2 linked regions of the Rhinolophus ferrumequinum genome follow. The protein of the gene in region 1 interacts with the protein of each later gene in a pairwise test. Links are inferred from orthologs where the notes say so. Each region holds a gene or a part of one and is shown on either strand. Other genes may lie near its edges. The genes, in order: TTC23 and CREBZF.

The links.
Region 2: the proteins of TTC23 (region 1) and CREBZF interact in binary tests that used the Homo sapiens proteins (3 or more experiments, as listed by UniProt). The two-hybrid records come from large-scale screens. The link is inferred for Rhinolophus ferrumequinum from reciprocal best matches to the Homo sapiens genes TTC23 and CREBZF.

The regions. Positions count from the first base shown.
Region 1 is NC_046311.1:11,644,902-11,655,280, forward strand, and holds the start of TTC23 (tetratricopeptide repeat protein 23), read right to left. Parts: upstream 5,619-10,379; 5' UTR 4,450-5,618; intron 1-4,449. UniProt on the Homo sapiens protein: Participates positively in the ciliary Hedgehog (Hh) signaling.
Region 2 is NC_046294.1:58,631,104-58,640,625, reverse strand, and holds the start of CREBZF (CREB/ATF bZIP transcription factor), read left to right. Parts: upstream 1-5,447; 5' UTR 5,448-5,720; coding exon 5,721-6,784; coding exon of another isoform or gene 6,785-6,788; exon of another isoform or gene 6,789-6,993; coding exon 6,994-7,009; 3' UTR 7,010-7,071; intron 7,072-8,143; 3' UTR 8,144-8,212; exon of another isoform or gene 8,213-8,824; intron 8,825-8,825; 3' UTR 8,826-9,522.

The sequences.
Region 1 (10,379 bases):
GAAGTTAAGTAGAGACATGGAAGCAAAGTGAATGTCTAGATATGAAAATTATGAGATGGAGAATATGCTAAGTGGGATTAATGACAGATTAGATATTACCGATGATGAAAAGACTGAATTTGTAGACATAGCAATAGAGACCATCAAAAACAAAACAAAACAAAAAACAATCAGTGAGCTGTGAAACAACTTCAAGTTGCCTACTATATATACACAATTGGAGTTTCTAAAGGAAAGCAGATTGTAGTAGGGACAGAAAAGAGATTTGAAGAAATAATGGCCAAAAGTTTCTGGGCCTCTGAACCTAGCGTTAAACGTAACCAAACCAAAAAATTAACTAAACCAATGTAAAACTATATAGTCATGGTTACTTGACAATATAGTCAAGTAACTTAAAAACTGGTTTGTTATTTCTTTTCTTTAGTTTTTTCGCTTAATTGTAAACAGTGGTTCATCTCATGCTTCCTCATAATATTGAATCCTTAAAACAGAGGTTATAATCTGAGCGCTCACAGTTGAGATCTAACTACTCCCCATGCGCGCTTTTTCTTTCTTTCTTTCTTTTTTTTTTTTTTTGGTGAGACAGTTGGAAAAAAAAATGAGCCATTATTTTAAAATTAGAAGTTTTACACAAAGATCTAGATTCCTGAATTTCTGGCTTCCTTTGAAAAAGCAACACCTGTCAATACTGGGCCTAGGTCGCCACAGGCAACAAACAACCCGCCCCAGGGGAGCCGCAGCTGGCCTTGGAGGCAGTGCACTCTCCAGTTTGCCAGCTGTCACCACTCCCTGGACACAGAGGCAGCAAAGGGACAGTCGCCATTGCTCCTGTGTTGTCACTTTCCGTCTTGTGAAAGAATCGGTCTCTCCATGTCCGTACCTCTTTCAAAGTGAAAGCCTGACCTGAAGGAATGTGAACTTCACCTGAACTAAAACATCACTGATGATAAGACACACCAGTATTTTATAACCACTAAGAAGGAAACAACACTGCTATTAACCTGTGACTTGCCTTCACCTGGAACACGCCTTCCGACGTCAGTGATGTTTAAGTGCCAAAGCAAAGGTGCCTTTTCGAATCGATGAAATGAAGCCTGTTACCTGCCTGGCTCCTGGAAGCATGTGAATCAGTGACCTTGCTTTATACATGTGTGTGTTTCACGTGTGGGGCATCCCACAGCAAGACCTTCAGCACTAAGACACGCTCTTCGGTTCACTTACTTGGAGCGACACGCTTATCATCAGCCACTTTTCTTCTCTTTGTAATAGCCATCGCTGGAGTTTAAATTTTCATTAGAAATCAGCCCAGGCCCCACACACCAGCCTGGCTCCCTGCCAGGCTTGGGTTCAGCTTCCCGGGCCTCTCAATCAGTCCCCACAACTGCCAGTCAGACAAACTCAATCAATTGATGCGATCCCTTCTGCTAGACCTGCCCAGTAGAAGGCTGAAGCACATGATTAGGCCCAGATCAAAGGGGAAGGAAGAAGAGGTCTGAAGTGGGGCGTCAGTCTTCTATTTCCAAGGGCATTTGGAGACGACAAATCAAAACTACAATGAGAACCACCCCACACCCACCGGCGTGACTATAATTAAAAAGACAGACATTAGGAAGTGTTGGTGAGGATGTGGAGAAATTGGAACGCTCACACCACACTGGTGGAATGTGAAATTGTGCATTCAGTTTAGAAGGCAGTTGGGTAATTCCTCCAATAGGTAAATGTAGAGTTACCATATGACTCAGCTATTCCACTCCTAGGTATATACATGTTCACACAAACACTTGTATACATCTTCATAGCAGCAACACTTACAATAGCTAACTGAAAGCAATCCAAATGTGCGTTAACTGATGAATGGATAAAAAAAATCTGGTAGTGTCCATACAACGGAAAATTACTTAGCAATAAGAGGAATAAAGTACAGATACATACTACAACGTGGATAACCTTCAAAAACACTACGCTACTAAGTGAAACAGGCCAGAAACAAAATACCACATAGTGTACGATGGGGGTGGAGAGTGGGAATGTCTGATCCACAGAGACTCTCAGAGAACTAGGGTGACCAAGGTTGAACTATACATCAGTCTGAGTCCTGTAGACTAACAGAGAATGGAAAACTGTAGACGGGCTTTTCACTACCATTGGCCAGAATTGACACGTCAGTCACTCTGCTGACATTTCATTTGCTCCCCTAACTGCAAAGGGGGCTAGGTACCCAGGAGAGTAAGTGGAATATTTAGTGAGCATTGCACTCTGCCCCATTGGTCATCAGGGGGCCTTGTCTCAGAGTTATTTTCCATATTCTCCATCTACCTTCTTAAGGACCAAGCATCAACAATTTAGGCTAAATGGGCCTCGGATTCTTTGAAGCAAGTTTTGAAGCTGGAGACAAACCAGCTTGGTATCCCTTAGGCACCTTGCTTTTTGGGGGAAGAGATGGTCCGTGATTCACTTTTGTTTGCCCAACACTGAGGGTAGTATCTGGTACTTGGTAGCAGCTCATCAAGTGTATGGAATTGAGCTGTTTCAGAGAACGGGTTAGGTGAAAGCCAACGGTCTGACTAAGAATACCTCCTATCCACTCATGGTATCCTTCCGTTATAAGGGTTTTGTTGTTGTTGTTTGTTGAAATTCTTCAATTTAATTAAATAGCACCAAGAGATACACTTAAATCCTGAAGGAAAAGAAGCAAGAACTGATACAATGGGAACAATAATCACTTTTACTGTTTTGATTGAATCACAACTGCTGTCACATCTAATATGGTTTGTATTTGTACTAAGTGCTAAACAACAAATGAGCTCTATGCTTTAGAAAGAAATGTGTAAGAGTTATGTTATTCAACCAAGTGAATTTTATAAAAGGCATTTGGATAAAATGTCTTAAAAGGCTGCTATTAATCCTTACTTCATTATTCATAGCATTTAACGTCTTCCCTTCCAGTCTCTGCTCTGGGAGCTATCTTAAATTGCGATGTCAGTTTTATCTTTTTCAAATATTACTTTCATAAGGTCTCCGTCCTGTTCAAATCCTAGGGCCAAACTCCTTAACTCTGGCAATTTTGACTCTTCATGCAACTTCTCGTGCTTTTTTTTTTTTTTAAAACCAAGTCCCCCAAATGAACCTTCTGCTGCAGCCAGAGCCAGTTATTCTCTAGGCTGCATATTACTTATTGCAATTTCATTACCTAGGATGCCACTTCCTTTCTTTTCTATCGACTGAAACTTTGCACATTGCTCAGGCCCACAATTGCTCAGGCCCCAATCCTACTGTGAAGCGTTCCCTGAATATTTCAACTCATACTGATCTAAGTACCTGAAGTACTTACGATCTATAATAGTCATCTATGCATAAAGAACTGTCTGGATGTTTTAAATGTTTTGAGTCTCATTCCCCTAACTAGAGTATGAGCTTCTTGAGAGACTGTATTTTATTATTTTATATCCCCCTATATGGATTAACAGAGGCACCTAAAGAAATATTTATTGCATACCTACTATGAGTTAGCCTTGTAGAGGTTTAGATATGCTACTAGGTATTATATTTACTAATTAAATCTTTACAATGCCATATTTTGGAATTATATATTGGGCAAGATCCTAATATTATGTTGCTATTTCAAATATAAGTTTTAATATATGTTATTCTCATTTATCAATATTTTCCTGAACTTTTATTAATAGAGCTTAGTTTTAATGAACATATCATTTTTGAAAATACTATATAAGTGGTGAATTTCATTTTTTGATAACTGATTATTATATTAATTACCTACTGATTCTGATTCATATACTAATATCGTTTTGCTTGGCCATTAGCAGATTGTCCCTGGCTCTCGTAATCTACAAATATACACAGAATTTGAAACAAAAGACGATTCTAATTTTCTCCTATATCTTTTAACAGATGGATTGTCTATTATGCTAGGTATGATAGTATACAAAAATATCCTTTTTATCCCTTTTAGAAGGTAAAAGGGATCAACTATATGGTGATGGAAGGAGCACTGACTCTGGGTGGTGAACGCACAATGTGATACATAGATGATGTGATACAGAATTGTGCACTTGAAACCTATGTAACTTTACTAACAATTGTCACCCCAGTAAACTTTAATTTAAAAAAATATCCTTTTTACTTGGTAATTACAATAACATTAAGTGTCCCTCTAAATCCATTTTAAAGCAACAACAACAACAACAACAAAACCACAGCTTCTTAGAGTATAAAATAATCTATAATTAATCTTATTACTTTGTTCCCTTTATCACTCAAAAATCCACAGCTAACCTGGGAATAAGGTTCTTCCAACCCCAGCCTAAAGAGGAAAACACCCTCTGAAAACCACTTTCTGCCCCTCTCAGATTTTGCTCCTAGTTTATCTGGTTTTCCCTGACACTTCCTCCTTCAAAACGAATGAAAAATCAGGAAAGTTGCAATGCTTACATCTCTGTGTCGTAAAATCCTTTGTCCATTTACCTTGTATGCTTGAGACGTTCTCCGTTTCTTTTTCCAATGAATTTACAGAGCTGTCTCGACAGCCTGATTTGCCAGACTGGGTCCCGCTGATCAGTGTGGCGATTCCTTATACAGATTGATAACCACGAAAAAGTCTAAAGTAGGGTAGTTCCAGACTAAAGAAGAGCAGCCTTTTCCCGTAAAGTAAGCTGGTACCTCACAAAACTCCAGGCAGAAGAATGAATGACAGAGCAAGCACCAATAGGGAGTGGAGAAGAGTATTTTGTCGAAGTTTATAACCCAATCCTTGGGAGCCAGAGGTGGGAATTTTAAAATGGGGTTGACTTTTTCTTGGTTTTTCTTAAAGTGGCATTGCTGCCTGTTGATGTTCAAGTTTGTTAAATTATGCCAAATCACTAGTTTAGAGTATTTCTTCGCCCTTGATTTGGGTGAGGCAAAATGTGAAAATTGACCCTCGACAAATTTAGAGAACTTTAAAGTTAGACATAGGATATTATACTATAACCATAGAATCACTTGGCTACTACTTTTGTCAATTTTTTTTTTGGAGGGGGCGGTGTAGAAGTTATTTTAAGATGATTCATTTTACGTGATCAACTATTGGATGTTAAATTAATGCGTTAAAATATTTCCCTTTTTAGAGAAATGAAAATAAGAGGCTAACATTGATTACTTTCTAAGAAATGGTTCTATCTATTGTTAATCTTTTTTTTTGAGCGCGTGTAACTTCAGTATTAGGAGGAAGTCTTCTTATTTGGGTTGATCTTTAATACCCTAAAGGTTTTTGTTTTTACACAAACTGTAGGTTTCCTTGTTTGAAGTCTAGCAAAAAATTCCTAAGTACTACAAATTCTTAGGTATTTAGAAACCTATATAAAGGATCTTAGAAATACATGCCATATACTTCATTAACTTCAGAAGACCAGATTTAATATATAGATAATTGACATTTCATTATAGCTCATGTCTTGCTTTGGAATAGGTTTTATTGTTATTTAACATAACTCTGCTTTCTAGGTTATTCATCTCGAAGAGTAATGAACTAAACCAACTATATAAAACTACACAGTCAAGGTTACTTGACAATGAAGCACTGGTAAATTAGTCATTATCAAGCTTTTCAAAGAACAATGAATAACAGCAGTTTCATGAGAGGAAAAAAAATGGAAAAACCTCATTGCAGAACGCAAGTTGCCATATTAAAAAAACAAGGCATTTTAAAAAATAAGTTTTTGGGTTTTTTTTAACGTTCCCTGACAATGCTTGATTTTTTTTATTTTTATTTTTATTTTTATTTTTTTTTTACCCAGCATAAAGCTCTCGTCCTTTTATGCCTCTTTCCCCTGACATAGAAATTTCCGTCTTGAAAAATATATGCATTCACGGCCTACCCAGCCATGCTAGGAACCGCCCCAATATTTAACTTACTAAGTGGTTACCATCCTTTTCAGCGATCTTTTCTAACAAAAGGTAGAATTTCAAGAGCAGAGACTAGGTTCCCGCCTCCTCTTTGGAACGAACCTATCAACGCGCAGTGAGCCCTTAAACCTGTGCTGGGGTTCACTACCTGCCCACTATTGGCCCCTTTACATAAACCCACGGGGCCTCAGTTTTTCACCGGTCAAACTTAGTATAAGAATAGTACTTGTATCAAGGGATTGCTGTGAGGGATAAGTTAGGTAAACTGTGCACAGCTCTTAGAACGCTGCCTGGTACACAATAAGCGCTCAGGTGTGACTGCGGTCGTGCCTCAAGGTACCCATTGAATGACAGCACGGACGTCTGAATGAATGTGTGAATGGAAGAAGAGATTGGTTACTAACGGTTCCTGAGGTGCGAGCCGGCTCAATTACCCCTTCAAAATGCAAAACAGCAAAAAACCACTGTCTTGACAGCAAGATACCAGCGGGAGCCGGAAGCGAGCGTCGAGAGGTGGGAGGGGCCAGCCTGCAGGAAGCAGCGCTCTCGGCCAATGGCCACATCTCTCGGAAAACGAGCCTCTCGTCCGACCTATCGTGAAACCGCGAGAACAGGTTGGAAATATCGCGATGTTCCGTTCTTCTCTCCACTGCTCTCTCTGGCCCAGCTCTCTGTTGACAGGGTTCCCTCCCCCGCCCCGCCCCTCACCGCCCAAGCCTCGCCCCGCCCCCCGCCCGGCGCCCCGCCCCTTCCCTCCCGGCGTCTCCCGGCTTGCGGTCCAGCGCAGCCTGCGCCCCGGAGCGCTGGCTCCGCCGGCGCCGAGGTGAGTGCGACCGTCCAGGTCCGTGGGTGGCTCACGTTGGCGAGGGTCCCTGTCCCGGCCCCCTACCTCCAGGTGGGGTCCGGCAAAAGCGTCCGGGCCGCGGTGGGTAGACCCAGATGCGAGTGGGCCCTGCCGGGCCTCGGGTCCCCACCGTCGCCGGGCCCTCCTGGCCCTGAGAATCGGATACTGGCTCTTGAAATCCCTGCCACTGGGCTCGCTGCTTCCAAACTGTGACGACCTTAGTGTTTGATTAACTCGGGCAAAGACGGCATGTGTTTTGCTTAAGACTTCTGCAAGCAAGGGCTTCTTAGAAGTAAGAAAATAACCTTTTACAAATGCTTTTAATGAAGTTTTTAATCCTCTAATGTCCAGTATTAGGAAATCGGAGTGGGTATTTCTGAATTAAGTACTGAAGTCACTCGAAGGGACTCCTTTCCTAAGACGCTCGTGCCTAAAATGTGTGAAATATGAAGATAGACGGTTTTGTTTCTTTTTTAAAATAATAAAGTGGATTGGTGTTTACCTGTCAGAAAACTCATGTGGAGGTGCAATGGTCTACAGTTAATGTTAAGTATGTCATTTACTTTTAACTGTAGGTAAGAGGTAGTGAAGGAAATCTGTGTAAGAAAAGTATCCTGGTAAAGGATGTATATTGCCCGTGAACGCATATTGGAGACCATTAGCGTTATTTATGATTGATTGGTGGCTTTCAGGTTTCACCTGTGTAGATTTTACCGTTTAAACTGCCTTTGTACTAAGATGCATTTAACAGGGCGTAATGACGTTTTTAAGGCAGACAGAGGGTTCAGAAGGAAAGCCATCAGACTAGAGTGAATTCTCTTCTTTGATCTTGCATCAGTGAGTGTGGGTTTTATATATAGTTTTGCTTTGGAGTCTTACATTTATATAAGCCTTGGCGACCACTTAAACGACCCCATCAAAGTGTGTGCCTGAACTGCTGCATTGTAGGGCAATGCACAGGTTTTGGAGTGGATGCACCTGGTCTGCAATTCTGGCAAGTAACTGTATGAGAAACACAGTTTCCTCATACATTAAATGGGCTAAATAATGTCTATTGCATTGCAGAATTGTGAGCATTAGGGATTTTTTTTTTTAAAGATTTTATTGGGGAAGGGGAATAGGACTTTATTGGGGAACAGTGTGTACTTCCAGGCCTTTTTTCCAAGTCAAGTTGTTGTCCTTTCAGTCTTCGTTGTGGAGGGCGCAGCTCAGCTCCAGGGGGCACAGCCCACCATCCCTTGAGTCCAACCGGCAACCTTGTGGTTGAGAGGACGCTCTCCAACCAAATGAGCCATCTGGGAGCTCAGCTGCAGCTCAGCTCAAGGTGCCGTGTTCAATTAGTTGTAGGGGGCGGAGCCCACCATCCCTTGCAGGAGTTGAACCGGCAACCTTGTGGTTGAGAGCCCACTGGCCCACGTGGGAATCCAACCGGCAGCCTTCGGAGTTAGGAGCATGGAGCTCCAACCGCCTGGGCCACCGGAGCGGGCCCCAGCATTAGGGGATCTTTATGGCACATAGTAAGCACTGAGTATATAGTACCTACAAGCTGACCTTAGCTCAGAGAATGAAAAAAACTACCGTGCAGTACAGCAGGTCCTTGAATAACATTGTTTGTTCAGTGTCATTTTGTTATAATGTTGATGAGATAACATAGAACTTGACTCTTGTTTATGTCAGTTAGCCTACCAGAAAGTTGGTGTCTACATTGTTTCACTTTAAGTTGCACACCCTATGCAAGGTATTAGGTGAGGACTTACTGTGTTACTCAGTATCCTCTTTTCATCAGCTGTTTGAAGGCCTGCTTTATGCCAGAGGCAGGTATATAAGAGTGAAGAAAACCCCAAAATCTCTGCCCTCAGGAGCTTATCGTCTCTTGGCTAGATTGACAATAAGAAAATGCACCAGTAAATATGTAGATTACAAATTGTGAAGAGTCCTACAAAGAAAAAAAAATCGGGTTTCTCTGCAATAATAACTGGGGGATACTTTAGTTTGAGATAGGGGCGTGATTTTTACATTGAAACCTGAAGGATGATGGAACGTTGGGTGCTTTCTTGGCTAAGAGGAGGGCAGCAAGTGCTGTGAAGAGTTTGACACTTTCTGGAACTGGAAAAGCCCAGGAGCTTGGTGAGAAGCCAGATAAACCCGGAGAAGTGTATGGGGCCAGATAATGAATAGCCCTGAAGTCCTGGTAAGAGGTTGATTTTCTAAAAAATCTTTTGAAGGGCTTATTTAGTAGAATGTACGAGCACTAGAAAGCCAGTTTACCTTACAGAAAGGGAAATATAATTGGATTTACATTTTAAAAGGCTCACTGCTAAGTAATTAAAGGACCAGAAAGTGGCTAGAGTAGACACGGAGACCTGTGTTAATCCAGATAGCCAGGTAGGAGATGCCTAGCTTTTGGTTTAGGCTGATGGAAAACTGTGGATAGATTTGAGGTATATTTTGGAGATGGAAACCACTGGCCTTGTGATGAATTGGAGGTGGCAGGTGAATGACCAGATGGAATCATTCATGACTTCTAGCCTTCCAGCTTGAGCAGCTGGGTGGGGAGGTGGGTGGCGTGCCACTTTCTGAAATGGGAAAAACTGGGGAGGATTTGAAGGCGGGGAGAAGGTCTCTTTTAAATGTGTTAGGTTGGAGGTTCTTGCTTTGCAGCTGAGAGAATTAAGATGTAAAAAGATTTGAGTTTCTTGCTCCAAGTCATGTAAAGGCTCATAAAAATAGATGAGCAGGTGGACTAAATATGGGAAAATATTGGATTCTCATGTTGTATTGGGATGTTATTGAATATTCCATATTCTCCGCCCTTTTGTATACAGTGGTAATTGCTCTCTTATTAGCTAGGATTTAGAATTCAGAAATAATAGCAAATAACCAAAAACTCTGCTTATTGAAAGTCATGGTACTACATTTTGCACTAACTTGGTGCTAATTCCAAGTGGAAATAGTTTTTCTTAAGAAAAACAAACTCTTTGAAAGTTCCTTCCATGAGAAAGTTTAGAAAAGGGTGCCCATGAAAACAGAGAGTAAGTAGGCTCTTTGAACCAAGCTCAACTTCTTTTTAGTGTTAGTATTTTCTTAGTATCCTGTGTACCTGTGTATGTAAAGAACCCAGCCTTTGAAATACACTGGACACCCCACCATCCAAGAAAAAAAAATTCTTGCTTTCATTATCCCTTATGAGCTGTTTGGCTTTGAACTAATTATTGAAGCTCTGAGTTTGTTTCTTCTAGTGTTCATTGATTGTGAAGTTTGTTTCTGTTCTGTGCGTAGTTGATTAGATGGCAAATGTTATTTCTCTTCCTGTCCTTGTCAGATTTGGAGGTAGAAGGGAATTTAATCTGTTCTGGGTTTTGGCTTTTACCAATAAATTTCTGTCTCCATTTTATATATTAGGCAACTGAGGCACCGAGAGATTGAATACAGAGTTCTTATTTCTTAGTGCAGTGTTTTTTCTTTCATTGAAATAATAAAGTAAAACTGTTTCTCAGACCTATTTCTTTGTTACTTTTGATAATGTGCAAAGATAAGAAGAAAGTAAGAAAAGAAAAAAGAGATTAAAGAAAGAAAAAATTAGTATATAGGACAATATTTCGATAGTGAGAAGTGAAAAAATGACATAAATGAT
Region 2 (9,522 bases), on another chromosome or scaffold:
CTACCATTTCTGCTCCAATTCTCTGCTATAAAAAAATCCAATAAATGTAGGAGGTCTGACAATTAAGTTTGTGAACTTGTTACAACAATGTTGCTAACCTTTTTTGATATCAGAGGGATTATTCTTTATGAATTTGTACCAACTAGACAGTTAACCAAGTTTACTATTTGGAAGTGCTGAAAGGCTGCATGAAAAAGTTAGATGACCTGAACTTTTCACCAACAACTCATGACTCTTGCATCACGAAAATGCACCAGCTCATGCGACACTGTCTATGAGGGAGTTTTTAGCCAGTAAACAAATCACTGTATTGGAACACCCTCCCTACTCACCAGATCTGGCCCCCAATGATTTCTTTCTTTACCCAAAGATAAAGGGAATATTGAAAGGAAGACATTTGGAAGACATTCAGGACATCAAGGGTAATACAATGACAGCTCTGATGGCCATTCCAGAACAAGAGTTCCAAAATTGCTTTGAAGGGTGGACTAGGCGCTGGCATCAATGCATAGCTTCCCAAGGGGAGTACTTCTAGGAGACCATAGTGATATTCAGCAATGAGGTATGTAGCACTTTTTCTAGGATGGGTTCGTGAACTTCATTGTCAGACCCCGTATGTGTTGGTGCTATAGTTGGTGCATAAAGTCATGGTCTTTGTGGAGAATTTGATACATTGGTACTCATCATCTATTTTAATCCCTCTTTTAATGTGCTTTTAATGTGCTTTACTGTATTGCAGAAATGGAAAAGCTAAAACAAAGAAACACAAAGCAAACTATATTTGCAGACTCCTCTGTAGTTATATTTGGAAGATGCAAATGAGGCAGGGAGGGGCCCTTTTTCTTTGCTTTGGCTGTTGTTGCTGCCAAGGACATTTTTGGAGACATTGGGCTTTTCCGCAACAACATCCCAATGTTCATTCACTAGTTTTATGGGATATGATAACCAGCCCCCAGGATAGTGCCTAATGATTCCTTTTTTTTTCTTTTTAAAATTAGTTTCAGGGGTCTAAAACAACATACTGTCATAGTATTCACATTCTTATGTAGTACCCTTCCACAGTGAATAAGATCTGACTCGTGTGAGCAATAGAATACTTACAGAAGTGATCATATGTGACTTCTGAGGCTAGGTCATAAAAGACGTTGCTACTACTTCCTTGGTCTCTTGGATCATTCACTCTGGGGGAAGCCAACCACTACATAGCACAGACACTCATATAGCCAGTGGAGAGGCCCATATGGAGGGGAAACTAGGCTTCCCTGAGGACCAGCCTGTCAGCCACCTTGGAAGTGGACTCTCTAGCCCAAGTCAAGCCCTCAGATGACTGCAGCCCCAGACAATATCTGACTAAATCCCATGAGAATTCTGGAGCCAGACTGCATAGCCAAGGTTTTTACAAATTTCCGTCCACAGAAACTGTGAGCGATAATAAATGTTTATTGTTGTTTTAAGCCACATATAAGCAAATATTTATTGTTGTTCTATGATTGTTTTTAGGTTTGGGGTAACTTGTTAGGCAGCAATAGATAATTAATACATGGGGTTGAGAATTTAGGCGGCAGCAGTACTCTTGAAGCCAACATTCCCACTTTCTACTTCTCACTTTCTCAACTGGGGCAGAGACAACTGTTCCTAAACAGGCCTGTTTGGCCACACTGTACTGAGACGCATTCTTGATCGCCCAGCCTAATGTTCACTCCTCCGGTCCTTCCAATGACTGTGTGAGCCCGCATTCTGTTACATCTCTCTCTGTTTAAAATAGCTGGATTGGTATCTGTTTCCTGCAATTTGAGCTTAATCTAATAAAAATACCCATCTCAAATCAATAGCTAGACATTAGAGGCATTCCTGTAAAAGTAAGGAATAAACAAGGAAGTTGGCTATCAAGAGGATTATTTAACATTAATCTGGAAATGCTATTTCATTATCGTATTGCAAAGGAGGTAACATTTTCATTATATATAATAAGGTGATATAATTGTGTACCTGGAAAATTTGAATGAATAAGCTGAAAATGAAAATTATTAAGAAAGGTCAGTGGGGTAGTCAGTTAAAAATTTAACAAAAAAATCAGTAGTTTTCCTATGTAGCAACAATAACCATTTAGAAAACATAAAAGAAGAAATAATCCAGTCCAATAGCAAAAAATACATACATAACTGGGAAAAATCAATTAATAAATGTAATGTGATTTCCATGAAAATTCCAGGTTGTTTTCTTTGAACTTGGAAAATATTATGACATTATCCAGAAGAAGAAATATTCGTGTATAGATAGACAATTCTGAGATAGTAAGACTAACAAAGGACTTGTCTTATGAGATATTAAATATATTATAAAACTACAATAAAAATGGAGTGATTTTACTTCCAGAATGGTGAGACTGTCAAATGAAATAAAAGAAAAAGACCAGAAATAGATCCAATTACATGTAAGAATTTGATATATGGCACACATGTTGGGAAATAAGTGGGGCAAGTGTGAATTGTTCAATAAATTTTATTGTGGCAGATCACTTTTTGAAAAATTATATTCCTGTTACATTTTGTACCAGAATGAATTCCATTTGAATCTAAATGAAATAAACTATGTCTCGTGTTGTTAAAAAAACTCTTAGTAATATAAACATAAGTAATTAAAGAAGTTCTAAAACACATAGGTAAATATTAGTATTATTTAGGCTAATAAAGCCTTTTTTGGCTTAACATCACAGCTAGAAACCATGAAGAAAATTTTAATAGATTATTTTAAAATGATAGCAAAACAAGCAATTTCACCCCTTCCCTCCCCTGGTATTTGATCACCTGGGGGAAAATTGGAACACATGTAAGAGACAAAGGTATATTTTCTTTATAATGTAAAGAATTCTTATAAATCAAGAAGGAAAAAGACAAACATTTTCCCTGACAAACATTTTCTCCCATCTCTAAGAAAAAATGAGCTAAGGATGTGAAAAGGCTGTTCACATTAGAAATCAATTGGTCATATGAAAAACATTCAACTCTCTAATAATCAGAGAAATGGAAATTCACACAAAAAGATGCCACGTTTTATTTTTGGAGTGGCACATTTTAAAAAGAACACGTCCACTGTCGTTGAGTGTGTAAGAATTAAATACTGTCATACACCATTGGTGAGAAATATCTTTCCATAGGTAATAAAGGTCTATTTATAAAAATTGTATTTATAGAAATTCTACTTCAAAGAGTTTATCCTAAGGGTTATAGGATAAGTGAACCAAGATGATTGTACAACATTATCATGTGGTTTATAACAGTGAAAATTTCAATATAACCTAAGTGCTATCAATGAGGAACTAATTGAATAAAATTTGCCCAGTTCATGAAATGGAATTCTAGACAGTCATAAAAAATAAGCATGTGGAGGGGAAGATCCATCTACATTTTTACACATTTTTGATTTTTTTGCAATGATCCTTATAACTAGAAAAAGAAAAACAAAACAGTTGTGAAGAAGGAGAGAGTGAGAAAAATAAGGAAAAGAAAAGGGAGGAATGATGAAGGGGAGACAATTTTCTGGGAGTTTTACTCTTGTTTCATTTGCTTTTTATCTTCTGAGGCTAGATTGTAAAAACTTCCTTCTCTTGCAGTTTTCCACTTTTCTCTTAGTCCAACTGGAGAGGCTCTCAAGCCATGTATATTTAAACCAAACTGTTGTAATTTGGAAAAAATAAAACAAATCAAACCCTGATTTCGAATTTGCCTAAAGAGAAAATGTAGTTGGATGGGCAGTCCAGAGCATATATCACCTAGAACTGTTCTGTGTTCTACTTTAGCAAAACCTTTTCTAGTAGGAAGGTTAAAAGGACATGGAGGCCCTTTATTTATTCTTCTAGATACCATAGGTCATACTTATTTTGCCCCCTGCAGAATTATTTTCATTAGTTGAATTGTAGCATTATGCTTTCAGCCAAAACTGGGGAACTTCTTCATTCATTTATTCAACAAATATTTATTGAAGCATAAGCTGTGCTTTGTACTGTTCTAATATTTGGGACCAATCAGCATGCAGCTTTCTTTGAACCTGCTTTGTATCTCTCTAAGGAACAGCCATACAAAAGTAGTTATTGTTGAAGCTATAGGCTACTTTATTGAGTATCCTACTGAGAAGTTTCTTTAAGACCTAAGAACTGGAAAGTGGTTAAGGGATTAATATGCTGCTTATGATATGTACTTATGAGCAAACAAAGTTTGTTTCCTTTTTTTATTTGGGCTAACAGGAAGCTTAGTCTATTGTTAGCTCAATTTGAGTAACTGTATAAAATATCATGTTCATGCTATTCCAATACTAACCTTTCTCTTTGGGAACTCCTTATCTTTCTATTTCATCTATATTTTCATTGGCCTTACTTTTTTAAAATTTGAATTGTTTTGTTTCTAATGTATTTGTGAATGGCTTCAAATCTCAAATACCTTGTGAGATTAAGATAAACAACATCATGAGGAAACAGACAAATCTAGAATGTGGTGCATTTTTCAAAACAACCAAACTGGTATCTTCAAAAAGCCAATACTAAGAAAAAGTAGAAAGTGGAAGGGACTAATGTACTTTGAGAAATGGTGTGAAAATCCACAATAACAACAACCAAATGCAGTTAAGTGACCCTTGACTGGACCCTGGCTCAAAATAAAACATTCTCTATAAAAGATTATTCTGAGGAAAGCTGAGGAAATTTGAATAGGGCCTGAGTAATAGATATTAGCAAATAATTGTTCATTTTCGCAAGACCTGATAATAGTAGTATGATTGTGAAAGAGAATGTCTTTATTTTTAGAGATATATACTGAAGTATGTTGGGGTGGTATGTTTTGTCTGCAACTTCGGGATAATTCAGCAAAATTAGTAATTATTTTACATTTATATGCAGGTAAAGCAAATGGCAAAATGTTAATTGTTGAATTGTTGACTCTCAGTATTGGGGTAGTATTGTTAAATTTGAGTGGCTATTGTACTATCCTTTCACATATTCTGTGTATTGGGAAGTTTTTATAAGAAAATCTTGGAAAAATTAAATTATATATGAATGATTTACTTATTTACCTCTATTTCTTCTAGTACTCTAGAAGTACTGAAATGAAAAGATTTTGTATTATGACGGGAAGGGAAAGGAGCAATTTCAAGAGGGAGCTCTGATCACCAGTCTTAAATTCCAGAGGAATCCAGGATGATGAAGATTATTCACAAATTTGGTATCTAAAAGATCAATTCTGAGCGAGAGCGGTTTCACTGGAAGTGGAAGCCAGAATAGAGTTGAGAAGTGAGGGCAAAGAGGGCAGACCACTTTTTTAAGAAACCCGTGGTTTTGTTGTTATTTTTGCCGCTGTTACTATGACATCACTGGAGAGCTGGAATTACTCCCACTCCAGCATTCCCTGAACTCTCGCGATACTAGAGCCTGGTGGAGCGCGAAAGGCCGTGGGAGGGGCTGGGGCGAGACCGACCGACTTCCGGCCAGGCCGTTGTCTGGGTGGCGCGGTCGAGTCATCGCCGGGCCTCGCGGCCTCGATCTCCCATCCTTCCCCCGCGCCTGTGCGCGGGGGGTCGACCAGCCGAGAGGGGCAGGAGGCAACCCGGACCTTCCTCGTCATTTCGTTCTGGCCGGCTCACGGGCTACCCGCGCTGGGTCCTGGGGTCCTTGGGGCCCGCGAGGCCCGGTCTAAGAGGCCGGGGCCTACGTGGGCCCGCCGCTGGGCCCCATGAGGCACAGCCTGACCAAACTGCTGGCGGCCTCGGGCAGCGACTCCCCAACACGGAGCGAGAGCCCGGCGCAAGCCGCCACCTGCTCGCTGCCCCCGGACTTGTCCCGGGCGGCAGCGACGGCAGAGGAGGAAGAGACGGCGGTAGCCAGATCTCCCGGCCGTGAGCAGCTGCGCGGCGACGAGGGCGAGTTGGAGGACGGTAGGGGGGGCCGCGGCGGCGTGGTCGTGCGCGCGCCCTCGCCGGAGGAGATGGAGGAGGAGGCGATCGCCAGCGTCCCCGGGGAAGAGACGGAGGACATGGACTTTCTGTCCGGGCTGGAACTGGCGGATCTGCTGGACCCCCGGCAACCGGACTGGCACCTGGAACCCGGGCTCAGCTCGCCCGGGCCTCTCTCCTCGTCCGGCGGAGGTTCGGATAGCGGCGGCCTTTGGAGAGGGGACGACGACGACGAGTCCGCGGCTGCGGAGATGCAGCGCTTTTCTGACCTGCTGCAGAGGCTATTAAACGGTATCGGAGGCTGCAGCAGCGGCAGTGACAGTGGTAGCGGCGAAAAGAGGCGGAGGAAGTCCCCAGGAGGAGGCGGCGGCAGCAGCGGCAACGACAACAACCAGGCGGCGACAAAGAGTCCCCGGAAGGCGGCGGCGGCCGCTGCGCGTCTTAATCGGCTGAAGAAGAAGGAGTACGTGATGGGGCTGGAGAGTCGCGTCCGGGGCCTGGCAGCCGAGAACCAGGAGCTGCGGGCCGAGAATCGGGAGCTGGGCAAGCGCGTGCAAGCACTGCAGGAGGAGAGTCGCTACCTACGCGCCGTCTTAGCCAACGAGACCGGACTGGCTCGCTTGCTGAGCCGGCTGAGCGGCGTGGGACTGCGGCTGACCACCTCGCTCTTCAGAGACTCGCCCGCCGGGGACCACGACTACGCTCTGCCGGTGGGAAAGCAGCAGCAGGACCTGCTGGAAGAGGACGACGCGGCGGGAGGAGTGTGTCTTCATGTGGACAAGGATAAGGTGTCGGTGGAGTTCTGCTCGGCGTGCGCCCGGAAGGCGTCGTCTTCTCTTAAAATGTAGGGTCAAGTAATCTGCTCTTTATCCGCGTTTACCCCTTTCAACTCCCTTACACCATGTAAAACACCTTAGTGGGACATCTTCACTGGACACATTTCAGAGGAGGAAAAAAGTAATATTGAATCTTTAAGTGTTTAGCTAAAAGCATGAATGTGACACTGTAACCAACTCCTAATGATAACATGTGACTATTAAATCTCTCTGACAGTTTCTTTTTTAGGTGATTTCCTTCCTGCCAGGCTCCGTTGTAGGGGTTACAGAACAGTCGTTCCCGCCTCACAACCTGGTAAGGATCCATCTCTTCACGTAACGCTCATGCTCTGCTGCTTAGTCTACTTTAATGGGCAACATCTCAATTTGTGTGTGTGTGGAGATATTTTTTTGTTTTCTTTTTTGGAAGGCGGGAGGGGAATCTGATTTGGGCCCTGTCCACCCTGGAAACAGACTTGTGCTGGTCAAATAATGTATTTAAGATGCTTCTTCTGGTTGAAATAGCTGTTAATGTGTCCCCTTGTTCAGACTTGCGTGTACCTAGCTCTTCTGTCCCCAGTGTGGACATGGCCTTGGATGACATCGATTCCAACTGTACACTGAAAGCTGCTAATAGAAATACAGTTTGGAGACAGTGAAACAGGTGAAGTTGAATGGAAGTTCCGAGTTGTACCAGGTGCAAATTGGAATTCCAATTTTAGAGCAACTTTTCAGAGGTTGACAATAAGTGTTTGGGGCATGCACCAATGTGATAGTTATTTTGCTGGAGATGACAGAAATCTCCTAAATATTCAAGAATGCCTTTTAGTTTTCAGTAGATCTAGAAATACAATATTCAGATTAACAGATATCTCATCATTAGAAAAAATTTGGAAATTAACATGCATATCAGACTCCTGTATTAGTTAATAGGAGGAGGAATCAGAATGGTTAATGAAATGTTTCTTTGAGAACCAGCACAGTGATTACCCTATCACTGAGTATGAATAAATTGTTGAACACCTTTATTTTTGTTGTATTAAAATTTTAGGTTAACTTTATGTAAGATTTTGAAGGTTGTGAAATATGAATGAAAACATGTAAAGTGAGGCTTCACAAAGAATCTTATTTCAAATATATTTGTCCTATTTAAAATTATTTAAAAATAATTTTACAAATTGAGTTGTTCTGGCTACTAATGACACGATTGACACTTTTCCCAAAGATGGGACATATTCTTTTGCAGTATTCTGTTATCTATTGTCCAGTTGTATAAATAGAGTTACGGTGTCCTTCAGTGTAAGAGACAATAAGAAATTCTTTGTGAAACATCACTGTTTGATAAAGTATATACGTATTTAGCATCCTTGTTTTTCTTTGTGCTAAAGTGGATACAGCTGTTGGGGCAGAAGAGACGGGACCAGCTGCTGGCCACATTTCCTGCTTTATTTTAAAAGGTAGTATAAGAAATGAGGAAAAAGAGGTAATATCAGGGCTTCTGCTGTCTTTTATTTTAAAATGTTCATAATTAAAAAGTATTTTCCAGCAGTCCAAAGATGTAAGTTATCTTACACATAAAATGTTTTATTTTGTTGTTATTTGGTTATGAAAATGGAATCCTTGTTCTTGCACAACTGTAAATGTTTTGTTGCTAGATAATACGATTTGAGATCTAACTTGGTCTCTGGTTTCCAGTGCATCACAGCATATTTTGTAAAATCTTCTATTGCACTTGAGCATGAATGGGTAGTAGCCAAACTCACAACCTGGAGTGATGAACCTGCTTATACCTAAGTGCAGGAGCAAGCCCCTCACAATGCAGCTGCATGGAGTTTTAGTGCCTACTGAATTATATATATAAACCAAAAGTAGTTGGAAAAATTATTTGAAATGACTAATTTGTGCTATCTTTATGGAATATGTTAAATGTAGCTTTTTGAAACAGAAGCCTTGAATTGAAATTTAATTAATACTTGAACATTTTGTATATATTTCTTTGTATATAATTTTGTGCAGTACCAATGACAAAAATACGGTGTCATAATAAAACCAGGTTTGTTGATCTTTCAGTTATGGGCTCAAAGAATTTATTCATCTCTATCATGACATTGGAAAATAATGGATGAAAATAGGAAAAATAATTGTTGTTAATGCTGACTGTGGGTCTTAAAAGGTTCTGGAAGCAGTAAGTGCGTTTTTCTAAAAATTATACTGTTCCTTGGCATATTTTCTTCCTAATGGCAATGCTTTTCCTGCATTATTTGAAGTTTGGGGCTGGGGAGAAACAGTAGTCAAAGCTTTCTGAATTGGGCTGCTTTGAAATTCCAAGTGTAGATTTTTAGAATGTCATTTTATAAATGGCAGTTTTTGGAAATACTTGATTAAGAACTTTTGAAAATGGAGATTAGTATCACCTATTTTAAAGCTGCTTTGTTAGGTTCCTTATGTTTTAACTGTCTCTTCTTAGTTTCCATTTCATTTTCTTTTTTTTTCCTAATTTTGGTGACTCAGTGATTTTGTCATTTTTTTACATCAACTTCATGGTCTTGTTTTTACATGGTATTGCATGTATTTAGGACCTATCTAACAGGGGCTTTAAATAAATTTGGTCACATTTATGTGTAAGCACATTTTACTGTAAATGTTTGAGTTTCTGAATTTACAATAGATCTGTTTATTTCAGTATGTAGTAGAATATCTTAAAAGTGTCCTATTCACTACTTGTTAATTAAAAAAGTTATGATTAATATGAAACTGTTGTCTTACT